4 linked regions of the Tamandua tetradactyla genome follow. The protein of the gene in region 4 interacts with the protein of the main gene of each other region in a biochemical or structural test. Links are inferred from orthologs where the notes say so. Each region holds a gene or a part of one and is shown on either strand. Other genes may lie near its edges.

Region 1 (7,435 bases), on a different chromosome or scaffold from region 4:
CCCCCACCCCTAGGCTGGCTGGTGAGGGTCCCCAGAGCCCCCGCTTCCCAGGAAACTCAATGCTCACAGCACAGCTTCTCTCTTAGAAAGTTTATTGATTCGGGGGGCCAGGGAGGCAGGCCTGTTTCCCCGGAGGGCCCCGCCGCCCTCACTGCTTCCTGTTGCCATTGATGGGGCGGTTCGCATGCTCGGGGGAGGCCAGGAAAGCCTTGAGCTTGGGCCGCGCGCTCAGGCGGGCCACGTAGGCTGAGAGCAGGGGGAAGCCATCCAGGCAGCCGGGGGCTAGCACCTGGTGGATCTGCAGGAGTTCCAGGAGGTTGTAGTCAGCGAAGGAGATCTGCAGGGCAGGGGGGTGGGGGTGGGGGGCTCAGCCGTCGGCACAGAGCAGGGGGTGCCCAGAGCTGGAGCGCTGGCTCGGCCTCTGCTCCGCTGAACAAGCCCTGGCCCCGCTGTGGGCCTCAGTTTACCCTTTCGGGGAAATGGGCGGAGAACGGGCTGGGGGGGGGCTGGGTCGAGCGCTCACCTGGTCGCCCACGATGAAGGCCTGGCCACCCCGGTTCTGGGCCAGCAGGGTCTCGAAAGGCTTCAGGTGCCCGGGCAGCTCCCGCACATAGTCCTCCTTGCCCGCCTCCTGCCAAAAAGATGCCACCGTGCAGCCTCCTCCTCCCAGTCCTGGCTCTGCCCCTCCAACACCCCCTCTGTGGGCCCCATCTCGGAGGACGGCACCGGGAGGTCTGGGCTCCGACTCCCAGGCCATTTCCAAATCCCAAACATTTAGGCTGCAAATTCTTCTCCTCTTCAGGCTGCCTTTCCACTCCTGCTATGACATCTCACCAGATTATAGCAAAAGTCTTGGGGTCCCCCAAAGGGTCGTTTCAGACCTCACGTTTGGACACTGCCCTGCTTAGATCCTCAGGGGTCCCCCACTGTCCTCAGCAGCAGGTTCCACCCGCTGGCTCAAGGCCCTTGTGACCTGGGCCTGCTGGCCCCCAGCTCCAGCTCCTGGAACAACTCCACCCAGACACACACGAGCACACACACTCACCTACACGTGCTCACATGCAAACACTTTCATATATGCACACTTCCACACATGCATGCACACTCACCCACACATGCTCACGCACATTTGTATGTGCATACATTCACACACGCACTCCCAATCACATGTCCACATGTCCACACACAGACACTTGCACTTGTGCACACACCTTCACAATGCCCACACGCACATACTGCACACACGCACACAGCCACACTCATGCACTCACAAATACACCTTCACAGCACACACATGTATAACACTTGCACACATGTACACATTCACACATGTGCATGCACACACACACACACACACTCTAGGTCTCTACTAAACTGGCCTCAGGTCTCAAAATGTGCTCTGCATTTTTGCACACTTCAATGCATCTGAAAGTGGCAGGCAGCCCTCCCCACCTCCGCCCCATAAAAGCTCAGCAGCCACCTGTCGCTGGATGTGCCCGTCCGTGTACCATTCTGTACTACCCATTCCTTGTCTGTGTCCCATCCCTGGGAACTGAGCCCAGGGACATGGGCCGAGGGACTGAGGGTCCAGGGAGCCCTGGCGTCGCCCCGCGGGGCCCACCCCCAGCCTGCTCACGTAGTTGGTGTAGATGAGGCGGACGTATTTACAGCGGAGGTCCTCCACGCCGTCGTTCGCCACGTCCACCAGGGCGGCCTCCCGCTGGTCCTTCCCATAGAGCCCTGGGCGGTGGGGGAAGGTGGGCAGCACGTCTGGGCACCTGGCCCACAAGGGACCCCCCCACCCCCAGCTGGACCACTGACAGCCCAGGGCCTGGGAGGACAGCAGGAGAACGTGGACAAACGACGGCTGAGGTTGAGCCTGATGCACAGCTTGCGCCAGTGGGACTGGCACTGAGTAAGGGTGGCAAGCAGAGCTGGCCTTGACCTTGGGCAAGTTGTGACCCCCTTCCCTCAACTGCAGAGAGTGGGTGGCATGCACTCCACAGGGGCTGGGCACCTTGATTTCAGCTGGAAGTAGCTCAGGCTGCTGGGCCTGAGTGGGTGCTGGGGGAACTCTGGCCCTTGTGTCCCTGCCCCCCTGCCCTGAGCTGGGTCCCCGCCGCCACAGGACTCACCGAGCGAACGGCCCAGGTGCCGCAGGATGGCATTGGACTGGTACAGGGTGAGGTCTCCGTCCTGGAACTTGGGGAGCTGCCCGTACAGCTGGGGGTGGCACAGCTCGGTGAGGGGCGCTGAGCTCAGCCACCCCTCCCCACCCACCCACCCAGAGCCCAGTCCTCTCCCCCACCCCAGGTGCGGGCACTCACACAGGAGGCCTTGAGGTCACCCTGCAGCCAGGTCTCCTTGGTCACCACTTCTTCCTTCCAGCTCTGGCCCTGGTCTGCCAGCAGCATGCGCATGGCCTCGCAGCGCCCTGGGGTGGGGGCATGGGGCGGAGATGGGGAATGAGAATGGGGTGGGGACAGGATGGTCACCGCAGAGTGCATGCAGGGCTAAGGCTGCTGCTCTGGCCTTAGGGAGCCTGCACACAGGGACTGGGGAAGGCGGCCTGGACTTGTTCACAAGCAGGAGGGAAAAGCTGGGGTTCCAGACTCCCCATGGTGGGTGAGGGGTCCCAGACTGCAGCCCCACCCCCTGCCACCCTCCCTCCAGGCACAGGCCCCTACCTTGAACCGGGAAGTAGACAATGGTATAGGGTGGCACTAGGACGGACAGAGAGACTGCGTTAGAGCTTGGAAAGAAGTGGGGGGGGGGGAAGGACACCCGCCTGCTTCCCTGGGCCCCTAGGGGGTCCCGGCCCGGCGCGGGAGGGGCCCCGGGACCCGGCCTGACGCTGAGGGACCCGGACCCCGGAGGTCCCGCGCCGCGCGGTGACTCACTGGTGCAGACGCGAGCTCGTGCGGCGGCGGCGGCGGCGGCGGAACTCGGGCCTCAGGCCCCGCGGTCCCCGAGCCTAATTGGGGTGGCCCGCCCCTAGGCCCGCCCCCAGGGCGGAGTCACCGCGCCGCGCGAAGCCTGCTTGAGCCGCCGGGGCGCAGGCTTTGGGCAGGGCACGCGCACGCTCGTCCCGCCGGGGCCACCGCGCACGCCCCGACTCCGCACGTTCGCCCCTCCAGAGGCACCCCGGATGCTCCGCCAGGGGCACCCCGGACGCCCGGGCCTCGCAGACGGCACCCCGGCCGCCCCCACCGTCGCACCGGCGCAACCACCTCTCCCCGCGCTGCCGCGCCCGACCTTCTCCCCGCGAGGGTTTGCTAAGCACCCATGGAGGGGTGCGCGGGACTCGCGTTGGGGCTTGGTGCTGGGTGCTGGACACCCGGACCTCACATAGCTTTGGCTCTCGCCGGGTGCAGCCCCTTTTTCCGCTTGGGGTGCACAGCTCTTGCGCCCAAAACCTTGCACCTGTGCCTTGTTCCCAGAGACTCCGATGGGCGCTGCCCAGAGGCCCCCACCCACCCGCCCTGTACACAGACACACATGCGCCTAAACTCTTACTGGAAGTTGTATTTTTTTAATCAACAGCAACCATTTGTATGTCACCTTCCAGATTGTTCCAGGGGCCACATACCCCTGGTGCTATTTACTTCTCATCTTTCTCTAAATTGCCACACTTTTTCCACTCACAGAAGCTTATTTTAAAGGGGAGCTTCGTTTCACACATGAAGGTAGCTGTAAAAATAACAACCAGAACAAAATCAGTTTTTAAATCTGGTTGGTCGGTGCACTAAGAACTGCCCTCTATTTTGTTTATTTATTTATTTATGTTGGCATGGGCAGGCCCGGGAAATTGGACCCGTGTCTGGGCTGTGGCAGGGGGGAATCTGCCACTGAGCCACTGTTGCACCGCTCTGCCCTCTATTTTTTAAAGCGTGTTAGCAAGGGTTGGAGAGGCATTTCTGATGCAACAGCACCAAACCGAGAGGTGTTTCCTGGTGTCCCAGGGTTGAAGGGTGCCGCTTTGCCCCAGGTCACACCCTGTCCTTTGGGATCCCCCCATGCCCTGTCCCCCACGCCATGATGGAGAGGAGAGGGAACAGGCCTTAGCAACAGTTCCTAAAGACGCCTGGGAGGAGCTGGTGGAGAAGGCCAAGGCTGCAGGGGGTCCCCTGGCAGGTGGGTGTGGCCTCCGCCCGGGCAGGGCCTGGGGCAAGTTCTCCAGACACATCTAGGTGGAAGCTTCTGGACTTGGTGGCTGTGGAAAGGCTGCTTTCCTGCAGGGGCAGCACATTCTTTCTTTTTTTGCACAGTCCCAGAGCAGTGATTCTTTAGGGGCAGGAAGAAGCCTGAAACACACACACACACACACCGCCAATATATCAGGTAATTAAATATGTGGACAGTGAGACTGTCATTTTCTTGTTGCCCCCTGAAGTTGGTGATGGGTGTCCTTGGTGAAGGGCAGGCCTGGGGAGACGGGGTTGGGGGAGGCCGACACAATAGGTCCAGCGACCCGACCTGGCTCAAAGCACCCCAAAAGGCAGCACGGGCGCTGCTCCCCACCTCTGCCACCTGGTGGGGGGCCGGGCATGGCATGGTGGGGTGGCACCCACTAGGGCTGACTCAGCCAGAGGTGGCAGCTGCAGAGACAGGTGCTGTTGGGGACAGGCAGGTGTAGTCCAGCCCTCCCAGGGGCTGGGCCAAGTTGCCCTGGGCCCTAGAGCATGCAATGGATTCCAGCTCCAGGGGACCTGGCTCTCTTGAGTGTCTCTGACTTTGCCACACGTATTCCCTCAGGTCCTGCCAGTGCACAACTTCTGTTCTCTTCCTTTTCTTCCAGAAGAGCTTCATTTGCTCCTTTGGCTTGTGCTAAAAGCAGTTGGAACCTGCCCTCCCGGTGCCTTTCATCCCTGATTATCAATGCGCTGCAAAAAAAGGCAAAGAAAAATAAAGCAAGGAAACAGTCGTACTTTCATGTCAAAACAGATTGAGCCGTTCTCTTTCTGCTGCATTTTCTCCTATAGCACGGCACCCTCCCGCACCTTTTCAAAGATAAAACAGACACCCGCACGCGCACACACAATCATACGGACTCACACAACCCGTTCACACTTTGACACAGACTCTCATGGTCACAGACACTCAGGCTACCACGCCTCAGGCCCGGTGCCAGTCCCACACCTCTATTCCGTTCTCACCACTCCGACCCTGGGGAGTAAAAATTAGCCTACCTCCACCTCCCCCTTTGCACCGGAGTGTATGAGAAATCCTGTTCTGCAGGAGAAAATGTGGCAGAAAGGAACCATAAATTACTTCCATGGCTCATTGACATTTGTCCCGTCCTTCTCTCTTCCACCAGGCCAGTCCTGGCCTCCTCCTGTGTGCGCTGGACTTTGAGGGGAACAGGGAGGAAGGAGGGGGTGGGGGTGGCTACAGGGTCCTCTCTTATTGGTATGTACTTGTTTGTGTGTCCCCTTTGTCCTCTCTCCCGTCTCCCATGCCCTTCCCATCTTCCGCTCCGTCCCTCCCAGCGCCTCCCACCCTAATGGACTGTATATCCGTGAGCCTGTCCCCTTAAGAGCCTGCGGGCAAGGAAGTTCTGGACACAGGCCCAGAAGCAGAGCTGCGGCCTCCCAGGTATGTGAACACTTGATTTGCATGAGTAAAGTCAGCTGCTTCCAGAATGGCCCTGCCAGCGGGCCCTACCCCCACCTGCCCCAGCTGACCAGAAACCACATCCAACAAGGGACTTAGCAGCCTCCCAAAGCCTGCCTGCCCAATAGATGGAAAGTGGTGTGACAGTTTTGAGCATCTTTTCAGGTATTACCTGGATTTTATTTTCCTTCTCTAGAAATAGCCTGTTCTTATCTGTGGTAGTTTGGAGCTGTTATGTACCCCTCCATCCCCCCCCCCCCCACCTCCAGCAAAAGGCCAGGGTCTTTTTTTTTCACTCTAAATTTATTTTATTTTATTTATTTTTTATTTTTTTATGAATTTTTCATTTTTTTCAAATACCAAAAAACACCAAACAAATGCAAACATTCTTAACTTTTGATCATTCCGTTCTACATATATAATCAGTAATTCACAATATCATCACATAGTTGCATATTCATCATCATGATCATTTCTTGGAACATTTGCATCTATTCAGAAAAAGAAATAAAAAGAAAACAGAAAAAAATTCATACATACCATACCCCCCACCCTTCCCGCTCACCGATCACCAGCATTTCACTCTAAATTTATTTTAACATTTGTTCCCCCTATTATTCATCTTTATTCCATATGTTTTACTCATCTGTTGATAAGGTAGATAAAGGGAGCATCAGACACAAGGTTTTCACAGTCACACAGTCACATTGTGAAAGCTCTATCATTATACAATCATCTTCAAGAAACATGGCTACTGGAACACAGCTCTACATTTTCAGGCAGTTCCCTCCAGCCTCTCCACTACATCTTGGCTAACAAGGTGATATTTATTTAATGCGTAAGAATAACCTCCAGGATAACCTGTCGACTCTGTTTGGAATCTCTCAGCCATTGACACTTTGTCTCATTTCACTCTTCCCCCTTTTGGTTGAGGTTTTCTCAATCCCTTGATGCTGAGTCTCAGCTCATTCTAGGATTTCTGTCCCACATTGCCAGAGAGGTCCACACCCCTGGGAGTCATGTCCCACGTAGACAGGGGGAGGACGGTGAGTTTGCTTGTTGTGTTGGCTGGAGAGAGAGGCCACATCTGAGCAACAGAAGAGGTTCTCCTGGGGGTGACCCTTAAAGCCAGGGTCTTTTAATCCATTCTTGTGGGTGCAGGCCTATTGTGGGTGAGCCCTTTTGATTAGGTTGTTTCAATTGAGCTGTGACCCAGCCCATTGAAGGTAGGTCTTAATTCTTTACTGGAGTCCTTTATGAGGGGATAAAAGACAGAAAAGCTGAGAGAGAGAAACACCCAGGGAGCACTGGAACCAGAAGCTAAAAGCAAATCAGATCTCAGAGCAAAGCACCAGCAGATGCCTGCTGTGTGCCTTCCCAGGTGACAGAGGTGTCCCAGATGCCAGCAGCCTTTCCTCAGAGAAGGTATTGTCTTGTGATGTTTTAATTTGGACATTTTCAGAGCCTTAGAATTGTAACTTGTAACCTAATAAATCCCCTTTGTAAAAGTCAAACCTTTTGGTATTTGCGTTCAGGCAGCTTTAGCAAATTGAAACATTGTCTTTTTCTGTTGAGTTTGTTGCCTCCTTCCTCTTCATCATTAGCTTTAGACATGCAGATTCCATCTACTATCCTGCCAACTCCCTTAACTTTGTCCAAGTCAAGTCCCCTTTCCTTGAACAGAACGCCTTAATTTTAGTGAAATCAAACTCATTAGCTTTTAATTTTTGTTCAGGGTGGGGTAGGAACTTATGGTTTGAGTTTTTGAAACTTTTTTTTAAAGTCTTTTATTACTGCTCCAAATCTCAACAATATTCTCCTA
Region 2 (7,246 bases), on a different chromosome or scaffold from region 4:
CAGGAGAAAACTATTTCCTAGGGGAGAGGGGACATTGGGAATTTTGTAAATGAGAGCATTCTTAGGCCACACATGCATACCCAAGACAAGACAGGCAGGATCAGCATGCATAGAAAAGATCAGGGTGACCCCTATACCTTGGTCTGGAGATATTCTCTGAACTCTTTGAATGGATAAGGCCTGAAGGAGAGCACTTGCACAGTTAAAGTTAACACATGATCCTGGATGGGGTGTAGCAGTGGAGGAGAGGAGACCCAAAAGGATATTTGTTGGGACATATGAAAAAATAGGGATATAGACTGTGAGATTTATATCAGTGTTAAATTTCTTGAGCTTGATAACTGCACTTAGGGTGAATACTAAGTGAATATCTCTGTCCTTAAGAAATGTACATGACAGTATTGAGTGTTTAAGGAGCATGATATATATACAACCTACACTGAAGTGTTCAGAAAATGGATTGATCAACAGACAGACAAATGGATAGATAGATGAATTGATAGACTGATTGATAGTTAGAATAATACGGCCAATGTGACAGCATGTTAAAATTGGTGGATCTGGGTATCTGGGTGGGGAGGGTATGTTGGAATTCTTTGTATGGAGTTTGTATTATTTTTGTAACTGTCTTGTAAGTTTGAAATTATTTCAAAATGAAAAGTTAAAAAAAATAAGAATAAAAAAAGCAGAGCTGCTCCAGGGAATAGAAGGACAGCAGCATGAGTAAGTGTTCTGTAGGGAAAGCCACTAAGTGACAGGTGGTATGTGGGCTGCTGGGGTTTCTGTCCCCACTCCTTCTGGCTCTGTATCCCTGGTACTTTCCCTTCCCATTGCCTGAGAAGACTGGAAAGCTCCTTGCCTACATGTTGGCATGCTTCTACAAGCCTACCCCTGTGCTGGCGTGTCGGGGCTCTGTCCTTTGCTGGCAGGGTGTCCAAGGCAGAAAGAGGGAAAAGTTACCTGGAGGCTTTATCAGCCACTAGCCCTATATTCTGACCAGGACAAAACTGAGCTGTTTTTTTTCTTTATCTCAGAACCTGGAAGCTAAAGATACATTGCATGGGAGATGAGGCATTTAGGCTGGGATCCTTGTCTTCACCAACTCAGCTCCTCCTTAGAGAGCTACCAACTCCTTACCCTTGATCTCATAGAATCTTCACAACATCCTAGCAGGTAGGATCTATTCTTATTTTAGAAATCTGGACACTGGGGTTCAGGTGACTTAACTAAAAGCCCACAGCAAGTTGTTGACACAGGCAGCACTAGATTCTTGATCCATGTGACTCCAAAGCCCAAATTTTTAACTCTTGCTGGTTTAGGTACTACCTACCAGGTCATAACTAATTTGTCCTGTTGGGGTTAGCAAGGTTAGTACAGCATAGTCTAGTATGGCTCTCAAAGTGTGATCCTGGGTATCAGTATGACCTGAGAACTTGTTAGAAAGGTGAATTCTCTGGGCTGGCCCCAGACTTCCTGACTCAGAAATTCTGGGGTGACACACCCTGCATTCTGAGTTTTAACATTCCCTTCAGGTGATTCTAATGCACCCTAAAGTTTGAGGTTCTTTGGCATGTAGTCGAAAGAGATATATTTTTAGAATAATATGAGTGTAAATATCAAACATATATTTGTTTTTAGTAAACTTATATTGACATATAATATAAATGCAAAAAAATGCACAAATTGTAAGTATCCTCTAAAATGAATTTTCACAAAGCTGACACACCTGAGAACCAGCACTCAGACACAGAACATTATTATCGATACTAGAAGCCCCTTTGTGCCTCTATCCAGGTGAGGCAGGACAGAATAGGGCATTGAGGCTGTGGTCCCTAGTTTTGTACCCAGTGCCAAAGGAGTTAATGCACAACTGCAAACTCCCTAGAACAAGAATTTCCTCCAAAGCTCAGAAATCCCCCAAAACCATAAAGCTTATTAAATCACAGGTCCAAAATGGACTCTTAGTTAATAACAGAAAGTCTGAGGTCATAAAGATTGTTAAACAGTGTGCTCAAAATGAACTTTTAGTAGGAGGTCACAAGCACCAATAGTTATCTCCTCCTGAAACATGGAAGACAACTGGCACTCAAAGGTCAAAATGGAAAATTGCTGCTAGCAAAACCTCCCTATGAAACCATGCCACCCGGAGCATGCCTCTTCCTTGAGCACATCTGCACAAATTTCTCTAGCGTGTACTAACTTTTCAGTAAATTTCAATGCTTACTGTTACTTGCTTTCTCATCCTTGAATTATTTCTCTCATCCTTGAATTCTTTCTTGGGGCAAGACACCGAGCCTGGAATGGAGCTCAGCTCTGGTGTTGGCAAAGCTCTGGTTACACAGGTGCTACCTCCCCTCAAAGGGCAACCACTATTCTGACTTCTAATGCCATATATTAGTTTTTTGTTGGGTTTTTTTTTGGCTTTTTTAAAGGGGAATTTAGTAAGTTGCAAGTTTACAGTCCTAAGGCTGTGAAAAAGTCTAAATTAAAGCAAGTCTATAAAAATGTCCAAATGAAGGTATCAACAAGAGGTTACCGTCACTCAACAAAGGCTGATGAATTTCAGGGTCAAATGGAAAGGCACATGGCGAACATGGCGACATCTGCTAACTTTCTCTTCAGGCTTCTTGTTTGATAAAACTCCCTCAGTTTTCCTTCTTCATCCTCCAAAGGTCTCTGGCTGCCTGGGCTCTCTTGGTTCTTGTGCTCTCCTATGGCTTGCTAGCTCTCTCCAAAATGCTTCCTCTTTTAAAGGATTCCAGTAAACTATCATATATTAGTTTTGCCTAACATTTATAAAATTTTTAAAAATTGTAGAAAACAAAATCTGGAGCTAGAGGACTTGGTTGGATCCCTAGTTTCTGGCTGAGTGATTTTGGATTATCATTTAATTTCCTTGGGACTCTGTTTCCTTCTCTGAAGAATGACCATACAAGTAACTCATATCTTAAAGAGTCACTATATTTCTCAAACTTGTTTGGTGACAAGTATCATCTGGGGCACTAGTCAGGAAATGTGGCTTCCCCTAGAGTATACAAAAATTGTTTGGAAAAAGGAGAGGACAGGGGAAAAAAAATCTTACTTTTTAATGTATAGAGCACAGGTCCACAAACAGTAATAAACATATATGGTATATCTGTGGTATTAAAATTTCAGGGGAGCCAGTAGGCAAAAAAGTTTAAAAAGGCTCCTTAGGGGGATGGTAACGAAAAAAGGTTGAGAACACTGCCTTAGTGCAGTGGTTCTCAAAGTATGGGTCCTGGTTAAAAATACAGATTCTCCGGTCCCACTTCAGACCAACTGAATCAGAAACTTTGAGAGTGGGGCCCAGCCTTCTATATTTTAGCAAATCCTCCAGTGATTCCCATGCACAGCAAACTTTTGAGAATCAGTATCGTAGAGAATGTGACTGAATTAGGCGGCCAGGAAGTAATATTTTTCTCTAGCTCTGCTGAAACTATTGTGAGAAACTCTGACACGGTGGATTTGAAGTTCTCTGAAAAATGTTTAAGTGGCTTTTTCGATGGTTAAATATTATTTTCATTAGGTGCAAACAGGCTAAACAATAGTAGCAAAAGTCACTAATTACTGACCATTTAGTCCCTACTTCCCAGGTCTTACTGGCACAGCTTGTGTCAACGACAACCCCTGAAGGAAGGCTAAGAGGATGGGCTCCGAAGTCAGATCGCCTAAATTCTTATCTCGCTTGTGACCTGGTTTATGCAGCCGTAAAATGGAGACAGTAACAATTCTTCCCTCATAGGTTTGTATTGAGGATTAAAGGAGTTTAGTGATGAGTACTCTAGAATACCTGTGGCCATTTAACTGTAAGCTACTATCATCATCCCTTAGATCATCCTGTTAAGAGGTGGAGAAAGGGGGATTTTAACCCAATCAGTATAACTCCACAGCAAAGGACTAAGTTGCAGTCCAACGATTCTCAAAGTGTGATCTCCTACCTACTGGTAGCATCACCGGAGAACTTGCTCGAAATGCAAATTATCAGACCCCACTCTAGACCTACTGAATCAGAAACTCTAGGGATGGAGCCCAGCAATCTATGGTTTAACAAACCCTTCAGGTGATTATGATGCACAAATAGAGTTTGGGAACCAGAGCCCTCCCACCTGCGGGGACGGAACTCGGCTTTAGGGCGCATACTAGCCCCCGCCCGCACTTCAGGGCCGGAGGCGGACGAGTGAGCAAGGCCTGCTGGGGCTTGTAGTCCGGACAGCTCCCGAGCTGAGGCGCCTGCGCGTTGGCTGCCAACTCGTTCTAGTCGCTGTAGTTGGGGCTCGGGACCGGCTGCCATCTTAGTCGAGCGACTGAGGAGTCGCCGCCGCCCCGAGTCCCGGTAAACACCCGCGGGCGGACCGGGGGCGGTTCCAGGGAGAGGGGAGAACCGGGTGAGAGTGTCCGGGAAGATCGAGAGGTAGAGGGGTGCGGCGCGCGAGCCGTGACCCCAGAGTCGCGGCTGCTCCTTCTTCCCTTAGAGTCAGTGCCCGTGGGGGGCGCGGGGAACTCGGGTTAGTGACCCGAGGCTGGGGGTGGGGTGGAGGGGGCGGTCGACTGGTCGGGCCGGGCGGCCAGTGCGAGGCTAAGGCACCTGGAGCCCCTCTCCTCGCGGGCGCCAAGTTGTGAGGGAGCTGGGCAGCAGTGGGTTCGGGCAGGGTCCGGCACCGCGCTCCTCTGCCCCGCCCGGGGGCCACTCGCGGGTGACCCGGCCTACACGCGGACCCGGGCGGCTGTGAGCGACGTGGCCTCTGTGAGGGGCGGTTTCTGGACCCACCTACTCCCTGGCTGGCTTGCCCAAGACTTTTTGTAGCCCCCAGTCGCGAGGGGGCCCAGCACAGCGGCTCTCTTCCCTCCCTTCCTGTATTCTCCTCCTCCTTCCATTGTCCCCCCGCGTGGTGGTCCTGGCCCGGGCGCCCTCGCCCGCACCCGCCACCGCTGGGACCCCGGCCCGCGCCTTTCTGCGCCAAGTTTGCAGACGTGAAGCTGTCACCGTTCTCCCTCCGTAGTGTGCCCTTTTCTGTAGCAGAGTAAAGAAAAAAGTAGCCGTGAACGATGTCTAAGTGTTTGAAACATGTTGACATGAATTTAAATGGGGGATTCAAGTTTTCAGACTTAGTTTGGCCCGCGACGTGGAGACACACAGGGTCTGTGTACCGATGTAGACTTTGGGCCTAAAGTTAGTCATCTCTCTGACCAGGTGAACTTGCAAACTCCCCGGAATTCACTGTTCTCCAGTGACAGTTTATCTTGTTCTCTTGGTTATATTCGTTTCTTAATCTTGTTACATTTTCTGTCGTTATTCTACAGCTGCAGTATAGTTTTTGGGGGAGGGGTTGGGGAAGGAATGGTAGGATTTTTCTTTGAAAATTTGTGAAGCACTATAGTTGCACTAAATCTATCTCTAATATAATTCCATCTTAATAAAGTATATAAAGGCAAATTTATTTCCACTCTCAAAATTGGCCAGGGACTTGTTTCACAGCTGAAATAAAGTTCTCATGGCAGATGTAGTGAGAACCTGCACTGTGTAATCACACGTTTTCTCAAGGTACAGTTATTTCATTTTTGAGATCTAGAAATGAAGGTGGAAATTCAGCCTTCTTGAATAGCGAATGCAAACTTTTTGAGTTTCACCTTCACTATATAAAGGAAATCAACCAGAATATAGTATGAAATAAAAAGCAAGTGTAGAATACTTTTTCAGCATGTTCTAGAATGAGTCATTTTTCTACATTCTTTTTCAAAACACATCTTTACACCTTTTGGAAGATTTCAGAAGAAGCCAGTGGTCTCTAAATTTAACCATTAGAATAACTAGGGTTGCTTTTTAAATATAGAAATTCCAGGGTCTTACCTCCTGAAATTAATTTAGTAGGTCTCTGTTGGTCCCCAAGGCATGTTTTTAAAACATGGCTTTGTAATTCTGATGGTCTTGGGAATCACTAATATAAACAATACCATGGACACATAGCCCAAAAAGTTCTGAGAAAGGTCAAGAGGAAGTGGCCAGTTACACCTGGGGGTTGGTCAGAGAAGGAGCAGTACCTGTCCCTGGACCTGAAGTTGGGTCTAAAGTGTTAAATAGGAATGTGACAAATGGGGAAAGAGAAAAAAACATTAATCCTATCTGTAAATGCAGAGGCCAGAAAGGTGAAACAAGGCAAGTATATGAAAAGTTCTAAGCATAATGCTAAAAATTTGAATTTTTAATAGATACAGATTTTTAGGCAGGGAAGTGATATGAATATGTGTGTTTTAGAAAGGTTCTGGTGATAAGAGTGAAAGAATGAAGAGGGGCTATTGGAGAAGTTCAGATGAGAGGTGACAAAGCCTGACCTTGGAGAGAGGCTTTGGGGATGATTGAGGGATTGAATTTGGTTCTTCACTGGTACAGTAGTATTTCTACTTTAATTGTGGATTGGGACTTTTTAGGGTCAGTTTGGGTAAAGGACTCTTTTCTGTCAAGAGTCCATTAGTAAATCAGAGTAATATTGTTGGCTTGTGTATGTTAATGGTATCAGAGTGAGTTGTTCATTAGCATCTTTGAGAATTAGAAAAGGTCAGGTGTAATTTGGAGGAGGATTTGGACTGAAATTTATGAGTATTAACACTATTGATCGAAGCTTCATTGAATGTAATTGTTTTTCTTCCATTCTACAGAAACTTGGTGTTGGAATTTTAGAGTTGGGAGAGATTACAGAGATCATCTAGTCCACATTTGCAAATATATTTTGGTTTATGGGTCAACCCTCACTGGAAGTAGCTGCAGAAGGACTGTTGCAGTTCTGGTCATGAGTGTTCTGGGAAAGTGTGTTATGATTGGACGCACTTACCTAGTAGATAGGTTTTTTGCCTATTGTAGCCTCTTAGTTTTTGCTTTGCTTAAAAAAAAAAGGAAGAAGAAGACTAAAGAGGTTAAATAATTTTCCTAAAACTAGTTAAGAGTCAGCTAGACCTAGAACCCAAGTTTTGTAACCCTAGTTGGTAGTCTTAAAATATACCAAGATGAATGTATACTACTAAGGAGCTTTTGGTATTAGAGAAAAACAAAAACAAAAGTATTTCTGGCCTGTTCCTCTTGACTGTTTAGGCAAAATTTTTACAAGGAACTTTGGCTTAAAAGTGAGTTTTGCTTGTATTCATTCTGGCCCAAGAGATTTGTGTTTGGCTGAAGGAATAAATTACCTGTTTTCTTCCCTTCCTTTCTTTTTCCTCTCAATTTTGAATTTTG
Region 3 (7,480 bases), on a different chromosome or scaffold from region 4:
ATCTCCCCACAAAAGGACAGAATCGACATTCCTTGATCTTGCATTCAAGAACTTTTATAAATAGGCCCTTTTCCTCCCCTACTTATATTCCTGACCTACCAAGATTTTGTTCATGCTATATTCCCATACCACCACACCCCAAATTCTTTACACCCATCAAAATTCCACCCATTATATGGGACCCAATTCCTATCACCCCTTTTACCAAGAAGAGTTCCTTGACAATTCCAGCACTCATAACTTGTCTTCTCAAGACCTATAGCTCTTAGTCAAGTACTGTCCAGCAGAACTATCTGGATAACAGAAATGTTCTACATCTGTACTAAATGTTCTCTTATATATAATGGGTATATTATTGCTAGCACTTCTTTTATGACACGTTACCCTGGATGGTTAAACCATTTATAAAGTTTTCCTAGCAGACTGAAAGTTCTGTGAACAAGATACATTTTATTCTTCACCAGCAACTTTCACAAAGTTACAAACAGTAAATTTTTTTTTTACTTATTTGTACACCACCTCTTAGGAAACCATGAGCTGAGATGTCTGGAAGGATGGTCACCATCGCTAACCCATCTTCACATCTGAATGTGAAGGGCTGAGGAGGAAACAAAAAGAGAATACCTTCCTGGAGACACCAGATACTAATGCTCAAGACACAAAGCACTCTGGTTTAGGTGGCATTTAGGTCATGATTGTCCTTCATTTACAAACTTTCCTAAGTAAATACCTCTTTTCATTAGCCAAATAGCGAAATTCTTACGTAAATTATCCCTACTAAATTTAAACATAGCAGTTAGACAGAAAAATAACCTAAGCAAGTCCTATTAAGTACTTCTTTTTTCACCTGTTCATGAATCAATCTCTGTCTTCCGTTAAGTCATATAGCCTGCTAGAGGTATTTCACTGTTCAGATATATGTCAAAATTTCACTGGCACTTTTCCCAAGCAAGGCCTACACTCTCTCTAAATCAAGGCTTTATAAGTAAGCATTACTTACCTGTGTAAGAACACAAAATGTACAGGCAATAGTACTTTCACCACTATGGCACTCTGCTCCCTTGGAGCAAGTGTCTTCTTCCTTTGGCCTCAATTTCCTTATTTCCAAAATGGGTAAATATTAATATAAACTACCTACCTCACAAGCCCTTTGTAGGTCAAGTCATAACTGTGGGTATTTCTAACAGGTTCTTCTTCCCAAAAGAACTATATTTAAAAACAAAAGATCCCTGACTTTGCTAACAGTTCTTTGAGGTGGGTCTGCTAACAAATATAGAGACTAAGATTAACCCTCTGACATTTAAAGCAATTTTTTCTTCGTTATTCCAGACTTCTTTCCCCCACCTCACTGTGCAAATGTCTGAACAAAAATTCTGCTAGTACTCCAGTCTGGCACATGTAATAAGGAAATAAACGTGTTGACTCAAGGAACACAGACATATTTAACAAAAAAAAATAGAAATATGGCTGAATCGAGTCCTAATGCAATCTAAACCCACATATACAAGATCAAGATAAGTTACTATTTTGATTTATTCAAATCAATGCTTATTAGTGCAGCCAGCCAAAAAGTTACAAACTAGGCACATAGTAAGTGTACCATTGACACACACACAATAAAGATCAGCAGGCACACACCATATACATTTTTTAATAAATAAAGCAACTAACCACTGATCGTGTCGACATATAGACACCCACTTGATATGAGTGCTGTATACTAAGCAAGGAAAAAGCAACTTGAATGATATAATTTTGCTAACTGAAGCACAACCCCAAACGCAGGTAAAGTTTGCACACATGACTTTGCCAAGGCCAGCCAGCCTGTCTTTGTTTCCCTCTCTTCTGCATTTACCCAAGATCTTGGCTCTGGGACAGAAAACTCCCACTCTCGATTGGTTCATTCTGTCCTATGCAATTAAGCAACACCACAATCCAGTAAGTGAAATGGCTCAATTATTTATCTTCTGACCGTGTTTATCAGGTATTCATAAAAGAACAATGTCAAGGAGGAAAGAGATTTATTCTTCTCTAGAGCTGGCTTGACTGGGGCTTTAGTTTGTTTTGTTTTTAGAAAAGGAGTGGGGGATGGGGAAAGCAAGCCTTGAACTACAACAAGATGTGAGGAAATTTAGAAAGCACAAGTCTGTCAATTTCCCTACAGGAAACTTGATTCTTATGCAACAATCCTACCCACAACCAACCAGCCCGTGGGGCTTTAGGATTAAGACACCTATTTCTCCCCCCAGAGAAGCAGAGCTGGCTCCTAAAGGAGCAGGAACCCGGCCAGGCTGAGAAATGGCTCTGCCGGGAGCCGCCGGATCCCTGCCCGCGGCGCGCGGGAGGAGGCTCTTCCCACGCGCCCCCCTACAGTGATCTCGCCCGCCTGACAGTCGCTCCTGAGGCCCGCACGTCTCCAGAGCCCCAGGGAGCAGGAAGTCGGAGAGCTGTCCCTCACGCCTGCCACCCCCGTCCCAGGGGGCCCTCGCCCCCATGGTCCACCCCTCGAACTCATTCTCACTTTTCCGCGGCTTCTCCCCTTTCTCTTGGAACGAAACTTCCTTCCAGCGCCCCTTCTGCCTTCAGAGGCCCGCTCCTGTCGGCCCTGGGAGGTGTCCCTTCAGAATGATCGAGCGCGCCCTCGTATCTCCCCGCCCCACTGAAGTTTCCATTCACACCCCCCTCCCTGAAAGACCCTCCCAGCGGCTTCCACCCTCTCTGGCGCCCGCCACGGTGCGTCAGGCCTGGGGGCCGTCCGGAGAGGCTGCCCCACCCTTCACCCCCTTCACCTGTCTCCCCGGTAGAGGCCCCACAGGCAAGGGCTGCGCTTGGGCCGGCGTGCGGGCACGGGGCTCCCTCAAGCCGCAGCGCCTCAGTTAGCACCGGCGGAGAGAGCGCGCCGAGTGGGGGTGCTGGTCAAAGATCCGGTTCGGGTTCAGGGCCTCCACTGAGACGTCGGAACCCCAAGCTCCCCCTCCCGGGTCTGCGCCGCAGCTCCGGAAACGGATGAATTACAGCCCCTCCAGCCAATCCCGCCCAGCCCCAGCCTGGCCTAGACACGCCTTTATGCATAATTCAAGAGATGGCCAGCTTTCTGGGCCACAGGAGGCCCCGCGGCTTGCCCTGTGCACGCGAAGCCACACCCACTGACCAATGAGAACAGCCGCTGGGGGGAAGGGCGGTGGCAAAAGAGGACTGGGGACGCCCCTGCGTTGGCTGTTCCGGAAGGCGTCGTGCTCCTCCCTCCGCAACGGCCCGGGAAGAGCTGAGGCCTTCGGCCCAGAAACCGGCAGGGAGGGAGGGAAGATGACCGGAATGTCCTGCTGAAAACTCAGCTGAGTTCCTGGCAGTGTGTGACGTCAAGACACTTTAAATGCCCCTGATGCGGCTCTCGCCTGCCGGCTCGCTCTTTTCCTGGCCCGTGGCGCCACGTGGGAGGAGGTTGGGAACCTTTTACCATGTGGGAATCAGCCAGTTAGACAGTCCCCACGTATAGCCAGATCCTCAGGGCTCCCAATTCCTGAATTGGATTTCTGGCGACAGCAAAAAGAACATGGGTATCTCCTGCCTGTTTTGAACTCAAGTTCTGTGTAAGTCGGGACACACACACCCGGAAACATGACATGGAAATAGAGTAATTGTTAGAGTGCGTGGGGAGACAGTAGTGAATTTAACCCTGTCCTCCGTTCCATCGCTTCAAGAATCAAACACCAACAGCTCGCCCGTTGGCGGGTACACGAGAATGCTGAAGATAATATATATGAAGGTTGACACGTATTTGACACAGTATTTGACATTTTGGGGCATCTGAGTTGAAATACCTTAACTTGCCAGCTTTTTCCCTTCACCTCATCTACTTTATATGCAGGTTTTACTGAATTGAAGCCAGTAGTCAATAGGAAGTGTAGATATTTTGCTTTACGTGATGTAGGATGAACTTTGCATAAGGGAGTGATTTCTTTGTTTTATTTGGCTGATACTATCAGGGCTTTTAAAAAATAAGTTATTGGTATTTCTGTTTGTTTAATGCAAACAGGTGTAAAGACGATATCTAAAAAGTCATCCTAACACCCAGATAACCCCTAATAATAGGTTTTCAAATGAAACTAATACAGGTTCTTGGTTAGAAAATTCAGAAAGGTCGAAAGTGAAAAATGAAAATTTATTCCTCCCCTTTCCCTCACCAGTTACCCCAGGATGACTGTTCTCATTAATTTCTGATGAGAAAATGAATGAGTCTTAACCTTTGAGGGGTAGGAGTCACAGACCCTTCAGAGAGTCGGAGTGGCATCTGGATTCTAACTCCAGAAAAATACAGCAAGAGCTTTTACTCACAAATTCACATGGTTCCCTGGCTACCTGAAGCCCCTCAGAATACTCTAGATTCAGACATATCCAAATAGCAGGTGAAAGCATCTGTAGGACAACTGATAGGGTCATTAGTGACAGGATTGAGAGTCTCCCACTGCTCTCCTGTACACCCAATCCAGTAAAGAAATTTCTGTACTTATCTGTATGGTGTGAGTGTGTGTGTGTGCATTTGTGTTGATTGCTCTGTTTATCTTATCTCCAGACCAGGACAGACATCTCCCACCTTCTACCTCAGCTAACTTCTGCTTTAGCTTTGCTGTTCCATGCAGTTGACTCCCTCTCTAATAACATAGTGCCTTTGTTTAGTGGTTTACTGCTAACAAAGCCCTTTCACACCCGTTATCTATTTTCTTTCTCACAACAATCATGTTTGACAAATAAGAGAGGTCATATTATTCACTGATAGGAAACTAAGGCCAAGATAGCTGACATCCTCAAGATCCCAGTGATTGATACTCAGAAGTAAACCAGTGGGTTTACAGCCACATTTTTGGACTCTGAATAGCTTAGCTTTGCTCCAGCCACTCAAAACCTGCCTTTCTCCCTAAGGGCTTTGTTTCCCTCACCAGCCCCACCTCACACACAAAATCTGCCCCTGAGCAGACTATCCACCTGACCTACAAAACCTCTCTCCAGTCCTGCCGCTGGCCTTTCTCCATACCTACTCAGAAGCACCCTTGGTTAAAGCAGATGGTTTCTGTCACTTGGGACAGTGCTGTGGCCCCCCGGAATATTCTCTCCTCACTCCAACCTTGTCCTTCGCCTGGCTGAGGTGGATGATGAAGGACATTATCCTAATAAATAAATAAATAAATAAATATCCAGTTGTGTTATGACCTGCTGAAAAATCTGTTTCCTATTACCTATAGGATAAAATCCCACCAAAATGAGAAATACTGAGCATCTAACAGAGCTGGGTATATGGTAGGAATTCAATTGTTCTTCTTTCCCTTTCTTAGTTTGACTCACAAAATCCTAAAAAGTCTCGCCTAGTCCCCTCCCCTGTTTTTAATTTGATTAGGCAAATCATTAAAAAAAAGTTGTGGTGGTGGTAATATATATACAAAATAACATTTTCTCTTTTAACCACACATTCAGATATATGTCAGTAGTGTTAAATCACAATGTTGCGCTACCATCACCACCGTCCCATACTAAAACTTGTCCATCACCGCAGACGGAAACTCCATACCCATTAAACATTAACATTCATTCTTCACCCCCACCTCCACCCCGGTACACTGTAATCTAGTTTCTCTCTCTATGAATTTGCATATTCTAATTATTTCATTTAAAGGAGACCCTAAAATATTTGTCCTTTTGTGTCTGGATACCACTCAACATGATGTCTTCAAGGTTCCTCCATGTTGTTGCATGTACCAGCACCTCATTTCTTTTTTATGGCTGAATAATACTCCATTGTAATATGTATATATCACATTTTGTTTCTCCCTCCATCTGTGGATGGACAGTTGGGTTGCTTCCATCTTTTTGACTATTGTACATAAAGCTTCTATGAACCTTAGTGAACAGATCTCTGTCTGATTCCTTGTTTTCCATTATTTTGGGTACGTACTTAGAAGAGGGATTGTTGGGTCATGTGGTCATTCTCTGTTTAACTTTTTTTTTTCTTTTTGGCTTTAGACAACAGAAATTTATTCTCTCGCAGTTCAGAAGGCCAGAAGGCCAAAATCAAGGTGTCAGCAAGATTGGTTCTTTATGGAGGCTCTGAGAGAAAATCAGTTCCATGCCTCTCTCCTCGCTTTTGGTGGTTGCCAGCAATTCCTGGTGTTTATGTTGAACTTTTTAAGAACTGCCAAACTGTTTTCTACAGCAGTAACACCATTTCACACTCCCACCCATAATGCACAAGTGTTCCTATTTCTCCACATCCTTGCCAGCGCTTGTTATTTTCCTTTTTTTAAGTAGTAGCCATTTGAGTATGGCCTAACCCCCATTTTCCAGTCTCTTCTCCTCTATCCCACGTACCCTATGCCCCCACGCTGGGCTTACTACCTTCCTCCAAACATGTCAGCACTTTCTACAACTCCACGCCTTTGCAGGTATTATTCCCTCTTCCTGAAAGACCTCCCCATCCTTGTTTCCTTCCCGAAGAACTCTTACCCTTCAAGGCCCCATTCCAACATTACCTCCTCTGGGCTTTCTTAGATTCTTCCTTGAAAATTTAAAATCTTGTTCTGCTGGACTTCCTCAGCGGGTTATTGCCACATCTAGCAAGCCATTTATCTTCTTGGACTGTAATGTATCCATTTATCAACCTACTTCCTGGTAAACAAAATTAATAATTAACATTTCGGAGTAATTAGTATGTTCCAGGAACTATGCTAATATAGTTCCTATAATATATATGCTAATATTATACAGCTAAGCTGTATAATGTTCCTTTTCATAAGCCCAGCTCCTAGCAGCCAGCTCAAAGCTCGCCCAATTCTGAATTAATTACATATTAATAAATATGTGTTGAATAATCATATCAGCAATAGCTACCACTTACAGAATGTTAACCAGGTACTAGCCACTGCTCTCAGCTTGTATTTACTCATGTGACACGTGTATTAATTTATTTAATCCTTTTGTCCTTACAGTAACTATAAGATACTATAATTTTATGGACAAGTAAAAACGAGGCTTACCCAAATTCAAGTGATTTACACAAGAACATAGATATGGTAAGTGGCAGAAACAGGATTCAAATCCAAATATGCCTCATTCAAGAGCCTGAATAGCTGTTCTTCCTGGACTTTATCTCTAGACCTCATGATCCTCTACGAGCCCCAAGGAAGGGACTAAAGGAGGAAAAAAGGTGGAGATACACACCCCTCCACTCACCAAGGGAACTAAGGCAGAATGTAGAAGCCCACTGAGTTTATGGTGATTTTAAAACATGTCTACAAATTATTTGACACTTCTCCCGCCAATAGGTAGAATCTAATTCCCCTCCCCTGGTGACTCACTTCTAACAAATAAATTGCAGTGGAAGAGATGCTGCCTGCCTTCTGAAGCTAGGTCATAGAAGGTGGTACAGTTTTGATCTGACCTTTGCTCTTGAGACACTTACCCTGAGAACCCCACCACCATGTCATTAGGA
Region 4 (7,542 bases):
ACTATATGAATCAGAAAGGCAGCCATTCATATCCCTGGCTTGTCCAGAAACCTCTAGAGACCTAATATCTTGATAGCCAGATATTATTTTATACTTCTACATTTGCAACAAAACATCCCAACTATCTAGATGACTCAAATATGTCAAAACTCAACTCAATGGCAAAGCAGACTATTAAAAATCAGGCTTCTATTCGGTAACCTCTTAATTACTACTAGGATAATCTGTGACTAGTCATTTGACAACAAATTACTTCAAGATGTTTCACTAAGCATCCAGCATCCTCACAAGGTCATTACCAAAATATTAGGCACTGAGTAAGTAATTAAGATTCTTATTAATTAACTTCATTAATTTAAGGAGAATTTATTCTGACATTAATTTCTGCCCAAATGACATTTTCCCCCACAATATAGAGACATATGAGGACATAATCTTCCTACTGCACCAGGATGCTCCTTTCAAATTCCTCAATGCAAAATACCTATCTACAGAATCACTGCTGTCTCTTCCTCTAAAATAGGACTCAGAGAAGAGTGAAGAGGGAGTTTAGTTAATGGTTATGGGTTTTCTTCTTGGGGTAATGAAAATGCTCTGGAATTAGACAGTGAGGGTCTACACACATCTTTGTAAACATACTAAAAACCACTAAATTGCACATGTAGAGTAAACTTTATGATACGTGAATTGCATCACAACAAAGCTATCTAAATATAACGTAGAATTTAGAACAAAACAAAAATCTTGGTTCTCATGTAACCTGACTGTGATGATTTTTATCAGTAACCCTTATCGCAAACGGACATATTTTATCTAGGTAAAATAATAAATATCTGGTATAACTTTTATCTTAATAGAGTATCATTTTCTAATTTATTCAATTCTATTCTACATCAAATAAAAAATAAGCCCACCTCAAATTCTTTCATATCCAAAACAAATCCTAAAATTTATCAAATAGTGGGAAAGAGATATAACTTGGATAAAATACTATTTTGATCTTAAGCCCACGTTTCATCAGTGTTAATATGAGAGTTTAAAAACATTTCTCATAAACCTCTCTAAAATTCTATTTGAAATTAAACATTTCTAATACATTTCTGCGACTTGTTTCTTTGTTCTAGCTTTTCCACTTAAAATAAAGGAGTCACCAAAAGCCTTTTCAAAAATATTAACAAAGGGATGCGTTGCAATCGTAGGTTATTACTAAAATATCACAGGCATATACACACACTAACCTTACAACTTACCTTACCTCATTAAAAAACATTTTAGAGAAAGTTTTAGGATAGTGAATGACCCAAAAGTGATAGTAAAAAACTGATACTGAGGTGATTCAAAAGACCCAACTGTCATGACAGATACAGAGGAACTGATCCTTTAGCCATCTGGAAATGACGGTTTGCATGACGCTTCCAGAACTTTATGGGGAACATCAAAACTGTTTTTAAGGCTTGCTTTTAATTTCATCAATTATAAGAAGCTTTTCATCAACCTGCCTTTTTGAGCACTTACTTTACAGGCTAGGTGCTGGAAACCCAAATGCAAGACAGGCCTACCCTCAAGGAAGTCCCATTTTGATTGCTTGCATTTGTGAGGTACTGCACTGAACTTGTTCATTACATCATGACTTTCTAGGCTTAAATGACAGCAGGAGATTCTGAGGTAATCACTACAAAAGAGGCTTTACAAGAGCAGAAAAAGTAAAATTTAGAAATACCTGTAGACCAAATGTAGCACTAGCTCCTAGAATATCATTACTTTCACAGTTCCAGACGAACTATTTCAAAAACACGAAAATAAACTACAGTAGGACTCCTTACCTTCTTTTACACACATCAGGTACGTAACACATGACTTACATAATTGTGTAATTTAAAGGTATTCATATTATATTTCTATCAAAGCACACTCTTCTATTAAAGGACATTTCTCTTTACCTTTCAGTCTCTCCACCTGTGTACAGAACAGCTGTTGAATGAATGAGTGAAATAAACAGATGTTCTAATTGCCAAGGAGGTACTTGCTGGATGCTTATTTTAAAACACAATGGACTGACACTACAATTCTACTCGAAAGATCACTGAGTTTGAGAGGTAAAAATAGTAAGCCCTGGACAATGTCTGATACGAGGCAGTCAACATGTCATTACATTTACAGTGAAGACCTAACAGGAGACTCTTGGAAATTAAAATGAAAAAGTGTTTCTCCTAGTACTTTAAAACGCACTTGGTTGTATGGATTGAGGACGTGAGTGCAGGACAAAGACACGGGAGGATGGGGTGAAAAAGTCAAAAGGTCACCACGGACTGACCCTCAAGAGGAAGATCCAGCCCAGCTCAATGAAGCCACCTCCCGCCCAAGCTACAGGCCCCGGGCTGGAGGCCACACTGGCCCTTTCCGACGAGGCTGTCCGCGCTCGCCTGCAAACGTGAGCACAAAGAAACCACCGAGGAACAGAGCACGGTCCCCGTGGGCCTCGGAACCCGGGAGGCAGCGGGGACGCCTCGGTTTCGACCTCCCCCCGGGCGTTCCTGAACTTGCCCCCGCCCCTCGGCAACCTCCCGACGTGGAAGCGGGACACGCGCGAGAGGGACGGCGGGCGGCGCAGCTCGGCTCGACCCACCGGGACCGGCTCCAGGTGGCCCGCAGCCCCGCGCGGCCCCCGCTTGCCGGGCAGCTATTGTTCCCGCGCCGGCCCACCCCCACCCCGCGCGCTCCCGCCCCCACTCCCGGGAGGGGGTCACTGCTGAGGCGAAGGCGGCGACGGCGGCGGCACAATAACATAAACACGGCGGGGCCGCCCCGTCGCCCGGGCCCTGCGGCGCGCGCGGCACTCACCCGGCAGCGGAGAGAACGAAGGGGAGGAAGTCAGCCGGCGGGCACCCTCGCGTCCAGACGCTGCCACGGCCGTTACCCAGCACTGCTCGCGGCTCCGCACCCCGGGCCGCGTCGTCCGGTCTCCGCCGCTCCGCTGAGTAACAGGGACGCGGGCCGTCACGGCGCACGCCCGTCTACGTCATCGCGCAGACTCCGCCTCCCGCGCCTACGGAGCGGCCCGCGGGGTGGACGCGGCCCCAAGGCCCGGATTGCGGAGGCGGGGCCGGCAGCAGGGGGCGGGGCTATGCCGGGAGGAAGGAGGCTATGCGGAGGTCGCCTGGGGGCGGAGCTGGGGGGGCCAGGGGCCCCGCGTGCCAAGCGGCTGAGGGGCGTGGCGGGCGCGGGAGGGGCGGGGTCTGTGCCGGGCACGTGGCGGCGCGTGGCTTGGGCCCCCGCCTGCGGGCAGTTCCTCCGCCCTGGACTAGGAGGTTAGGAGCCTTGGCCCGACCCGCCCCTCAGAGGTCACCTCCCGCCTGCTGCACATCTGAGAGGCAAAGAGCTCCTCACTTAGACACATCGCACGTTCCACTCCGAGGGCACCTACCCGGGACCTGCAACCCTCAAGCAAATAACTGTTTTCTTCAGGCTCCCGGAAAGAGCCTCCTCCTGTTTTCCCCAAATCCACTTCCTCCCAGAATCCGTACCTTACCTGTTTATCTCTGAGGCCCTAAAAAGCACGGTAAATATTTTGCAAATGGTCACTGGAAGTGCTAGACAAGCCCTTAAATATCCGACAATAGACAGTAGGTGGAAAGGTATTTAAGTACGTCCATGCAATGAAATGAATACATTTTAGCCATTTAAAACCCACGTGTGCAAGGAATTCTTACAGCTATGGGAAAATGTTCACAATGTAACATTAAGAGAAAGAAGATACAAGCGTGCGTGTGTGTGCATACATATACATAAAATGATCCCCCTTATGAACTATATGCATAGGAAAAAAAACTGGAAGAGAAATATTCAAAAATATTTTAGAAGCAGTTCATCATTGGATATGGAATGAAAGGTGGTTTGTTTCTCCTTTATACATTAGGTGTTTTCCATGGTTTCCAAGAAATAAATGAGCTACTTTACTACTGAATACGTAAATATTTGTTGAGTAAATGAGTGGATGCAGCTAGACTACTTTCCCATAACGTGTTGGGCTGAGCTGTGCCCAGTGATTCTGAAGGGAAACATGAGTGTAACCATTCCTTCCTTCCTTCATTCTCTCCTGGGGCTCTCCCTCCCTCTTAGCCTTCTTTACTCCCTTCTGTCCTTCATTTCTCCAATAAATATTTATTGCATGCCCACACTGTGCCAGACACTGCACTAACGCTGGAAAATTTAATCGCTGTAATGTGGAAATAATAACAGTAAATGCAAAGTTATCACCATATTATATACAAATTGATATGGAAGCATAGTATTATGAAACCAATTAATAAAATTAACAAGGCCAGGAGAGGTTTCCCTGAGGAACTGCCAACCAAGTGGAGAATACAATTAATGAGGCACAGATTTCAGACAGAGGCAACTTGGTGTGCAAAAGCCCAGTGAGGTCAGGTAGCTGGGTGAATTGGGGAAACTGAGGAAAGGCCCGTGTTGCTGGAACACAGAGAGAAGGAAGATGGGGCTATGGGGCAAAGCCATATTTGGTAAAGCGCCATACCAAGTACAGTCATACTGGCCACGTCGACACCTCGTCTAAGCCCTGGTGTGCTTCAGCAGTGGGTGGCTTCTTTAAAAGATCCTTTATTGGAAGGAGGCCAGGTGTATGTAGGAGTCGTCTAGATAGCAGAGGATGGAGGCTTAGACTAGGGCTATGGGCTGCTAAGATAGTGAAAGGTGACGGATCCAAGTACCATTTAGGATATTTAATGCCCAGGACGTGGTGATGGATTAGATGAGGCAGGGAAGGAGAGAGAGTCATCAAGGACAAGTCACAGTTTTCTGGCTTATGACAAAGTTTGTGCATTAGGGCTGGTTCACTGAGGTAGGGAAGCTTGTGTTTTAGTTTCTTGGAGTCACCATCACGAAGCACTACAATCTGGGTGGCTTGAAACAGCAGAAATTTATTCTCTGCCGGTTCTGGAGGCTGGAAGTCTGAAATCAAGGTCTCAGCAGGGCCACGCTCCCTCCAAAGTCTACAGGGAAGAACCTTTTCCATGCCTTTCTCTAGATTTCTGGTGGCAGCCAGCAAATTTTGGGGAGGGTGGGAGGGAGGGGGGGAGGGTCCTTGGCTATGGCAAAATTCTATCTCTGCCTCACTTATTACAGGACCTTCTCCCCTCTATTTGTCTGTCTCCTTTCCCCTTCCTATAAAGACATCAATAATATTGGATTAAGGCCTACCCTGCTTCAGTATGACCTTCTTTTAACTTGCCCAATTTCATCTGTAACTATCCTATTTCCAAATAAAGTCATATTCGGAGGCACCGGAGTTTAGGATGTCAGCATACCTTCTGGGGGTGGCGTGGGGGCAGGGGACACACTACTACCGGGTTTGGATAGAAACCCGGTTTCATTTGAGGCCTTTGAGATGCCCAAAGGAGAGAGGCCTAGTTGGCATTTCGATATCCAGAGCCTGGGCTCAGCTAGGTAAGAGATGAGTTGTCCACAGATAGCCACCACACAAAGCCATGGGTATGGATGCGTGAGCTGGAAGAAAGAGGACAAGTGAGCAAGAAGAGAAGAGGTGGAGCTGCCAGGGAGCTAGAAGGGAAACTTGGAGAGAGGGGAGCTAAAGAAGAAAGACGCGATCCATAATATCAAATACCAAATGTAAGAGGAGCCTTGGAAATCTGGAGGAATGGGGCCAGAACTGGATTCGAGGGGGTTGAGAGATGAGTGGGAGGTGAGAAAATGGAGACTGTGGGTACGGATGAGCTCAGCAGTGAAGGGAAGGGGAGATGGCATATTTTTAAATCCGACGGGAACATGCTGTTGAGCGGGGGGAATCTGAATGACAAGCAAGAGAAGGGGTAAGCATCAGCCTGGGGCCCCCAGGAGGGCAGGAGGGGATGTGACTGGGTGCAAGGATGGAGGTATTGGCAGGTACATCACCAGACAAGTTGAAGACCTGGGCCTAGCAAAAGGCAATTTGACCCCCGAGCGGTTGAATCAGAACAGAAGTTCCGAGTTCCGTGCCCAGTTCTGTAAAGCTCTTAGCCTCTGCTCCTCTCAACAGGGAGAGCTTTGGATTTAGCAGCAGCCTCCCACTGTCAGCTTCCAATAGTCTATGCCTAGAAAGCACCTCCCACATGTTTGTGTGTTCGTGTATGTGTGTGTGTGTGTGTGTGTGTGTGTGACTTCAGAAAGCCCTTTGCTACTTGTCTTTGAATATAATCTCTGCAAATTCAAAATGCTTTATATAACCCAGATGTGGACCAGGGCCTCCCTCTTCTTTCTCATGGCACTTGTCCTTGTTAACTTATTAGGGTTCCTTGTGAACCGATTGGGGGCTGGCTCTACAAAACAGGATGAGTTAAGGAATTCAGGCCTATTGCCTCTTATGCCAGGGGAGTTGTCTTGGCCACAGCTCATCCTCAGATCTCCCTGAGGCTGGGATAGAGGGAGGAGAGAAGGGGAGACTGTGGGGTCCTTACACCCAGCCTCTGCTGAAGCTCCTGAGGGATGGCCAGTCTTCCCAGACTACCTGGATTATAATGCAGCTGGTCCTTTTGGCTAAGCTGTCAGGGTTATCTCCCCGAGCAGTTCAGGCGACAGAAGACCGAAATTGAGGCTTTCTCTCACGTGCTCCCTCCCTGACCTGCCTCCAGGGCTGGAGGGCGGAGGGACTTACTGACTTCAGAAGGACACCCCAGAGGATGCATCCCCTCTCCAGATCCTACCCCCAGCCCCCAGCCCCATTCTCCTTTAGCTTTTTCTGGCTGTCCCGCTTCCTGCCTGCTTTCCCACCCTCAACCCAGTCCTGGCCCCTTCTCCCCCCACTGGAGGAAGAGATTCTGTACCTCGGTCAGTCACCCCCTGGGTCTTTCAGCTTTGACCCCTCTGCGAGGCTCTGCAACGCTCTTTCAAGGCAGGCATGGCTGGTTTCTGATGGGGGTGGACAGCCCCTGGCAGCCTAATCAAAAGATGATCATTCTGATTGCAGATTGTTCTCTCCACTGGCCAGAACTGTGGCAGATGGGTGTACTCAGGGATAAGACAGACGAAAATGACGGGAGCTCCTCTGCCACAACCCGGGTGAAACAAGGTGGAGGAGAAAGTCATGGGGCCGGTCACGGGGGCTCAGTGGCAGTGTTTCCTGCCTGCCGTGCCAGAGACCCGGGTTTGATTCCCAGTGCCTGCCCATGCAAAAAAAAAAAAAAAGGTCATGGTGGTCTGATTCGACGTGACAGGTGGCACCCCCTCTTTGCCTGGCCCCCTTCTTCCCTTTCTCTCACCCCCATAGGCACAAGTTACTTCACATGTGAGCAAGAGAGAGTGACAGTCAACTAGCTAAACCTGTAGGTTGAGTTACATAAGTTCTCTTGACAAAACCATCAACGTTTGGTCCTCTAGGACAGTTGTCAGAGTGGTCTTCAGACCTGCAATGCCATCAACACCTGGGACCTTGTTGAAGATGCAAATTCGCAGACCCACCCGGACCTACAGCATCAGAAACCCAGAGGGGGATATTGCAAGTGCCCTCCAAGCATTGTTGATGCTGCTCAG

What was found.
Region 1: the proteins of MAPK8 (region 4) and GSTP1 form a complex in vitro, tested with the Homo sapiens proteins (2 studies listed by BioGRID). The link is inferred for Tamandua tetradactyla from reciprocal best matches to the Homo sapiens genes MAPK8 and GSTP1.
Region 2: of the proteins of MAPK8 (region 4) and ITCH, one has a biochemical effect on the other in vitro, tested with the Homo sapiens proteins (2 studies listed by BioGRID). The link is inferred for Tamandua tetradactyla from reciprocal best matches to the Homo sapiens genes MAPK8 and ITCH.
Region 3: of the proteins of MAPK8 (region 4) and STAT3, one has a biochemical effect on the other in vitro, tested with the Homo sapiens proteins (2 studies listed by BioGRID). The link is inferred for Tamandua tetradactyla from reciprocal best matches to the Homo sapiens genes MAPK8 and STAT3.

The regions. Positions count from the first base shown.
Region 1 is NC_135335.1:6,798,778-6,806,212, forward strand, and holds GSTP1 (glutathione S-transferase P), read right to left. Parts: upstream 3,007-7,435; 5' UTR 2,902-3,006; coding exon 2,901-2,901; intron 2,724-2,900; coding exon 2,688-2,723; intron 2,435-2,687; coding exon 2,328-2,434; intron 2,224-2,327; coding exon 2,136-2,223; intron 1,741-2,135; coding exon 1,637-1,740; intron 632-1,636; coding exon 524-631; intron 338-523; coding exon 149-337; 3' UTR 76-148; downstream 1-75. UniProt on the Homo sapiens protein: Conjugation of reduced glutathione to a wide number of exogenous and endogenous hydrophobic electrophiles. Involved in the formation of glutathione conjugates of both prostaglandin A2 (PGA2) and prostaglandin J2 (PGJ2).
Region 2 is NC_135327.1:18,487,548-18,494,793, reverse strand, and holds the start of ITCH (E3 ubiquitin-protein ligase Itchy homolog), read left to right. Parts: upstream 1-4,232; 5' UTR 4,233-4,354; exon of another isoform or gene 4,355-4,406; intron 4,407-7,246. UniProt on the Homo sapiens protein: Acts as an Acts as an E3 ubiquitin-protein ligase which accepts ubiquitin from an E2 ubiquitin-conjugating enzyme in the form of a thioester and then directly transfers the ubiquitin to targeted substrates.
Region 3 is NC_135332.1:24,834,845-24,842,324, reverse strand, and holds the start of STAT3 (signal transducer and activator of transcription 3), read right to left. Parts: upstream 3,006-7,480; 5' UTR 2,790-3,005; intron 2,674-2,789; exon of another isoform or gene 2,522-2,673; intron 1-2,521. UniProt on the Homo sapiens protein: Signal transducer and transcription activator that mediates cellular responses to interleukins, KITLG/SCF, LEP and other growth factors. Once activated, recruits coactivators, such as NCOA1 or MED1, to the promoter region of the target gene.
Region 4 is NC_135339.1:7,464,697-7,472,238, forward strand, and holds the start of MAPK8 (mitogen-activated protein kinase 8), read right to left. Parts: upstream 3,006-7,542; 5' UTR 2,842-3,005; intron 1-2,841. UniProt on the Homo sapiens protein: Serine/threonine-protein kinase involved in various processes such as cell proliferation, differentiation, migration, transformation and programmed cell death.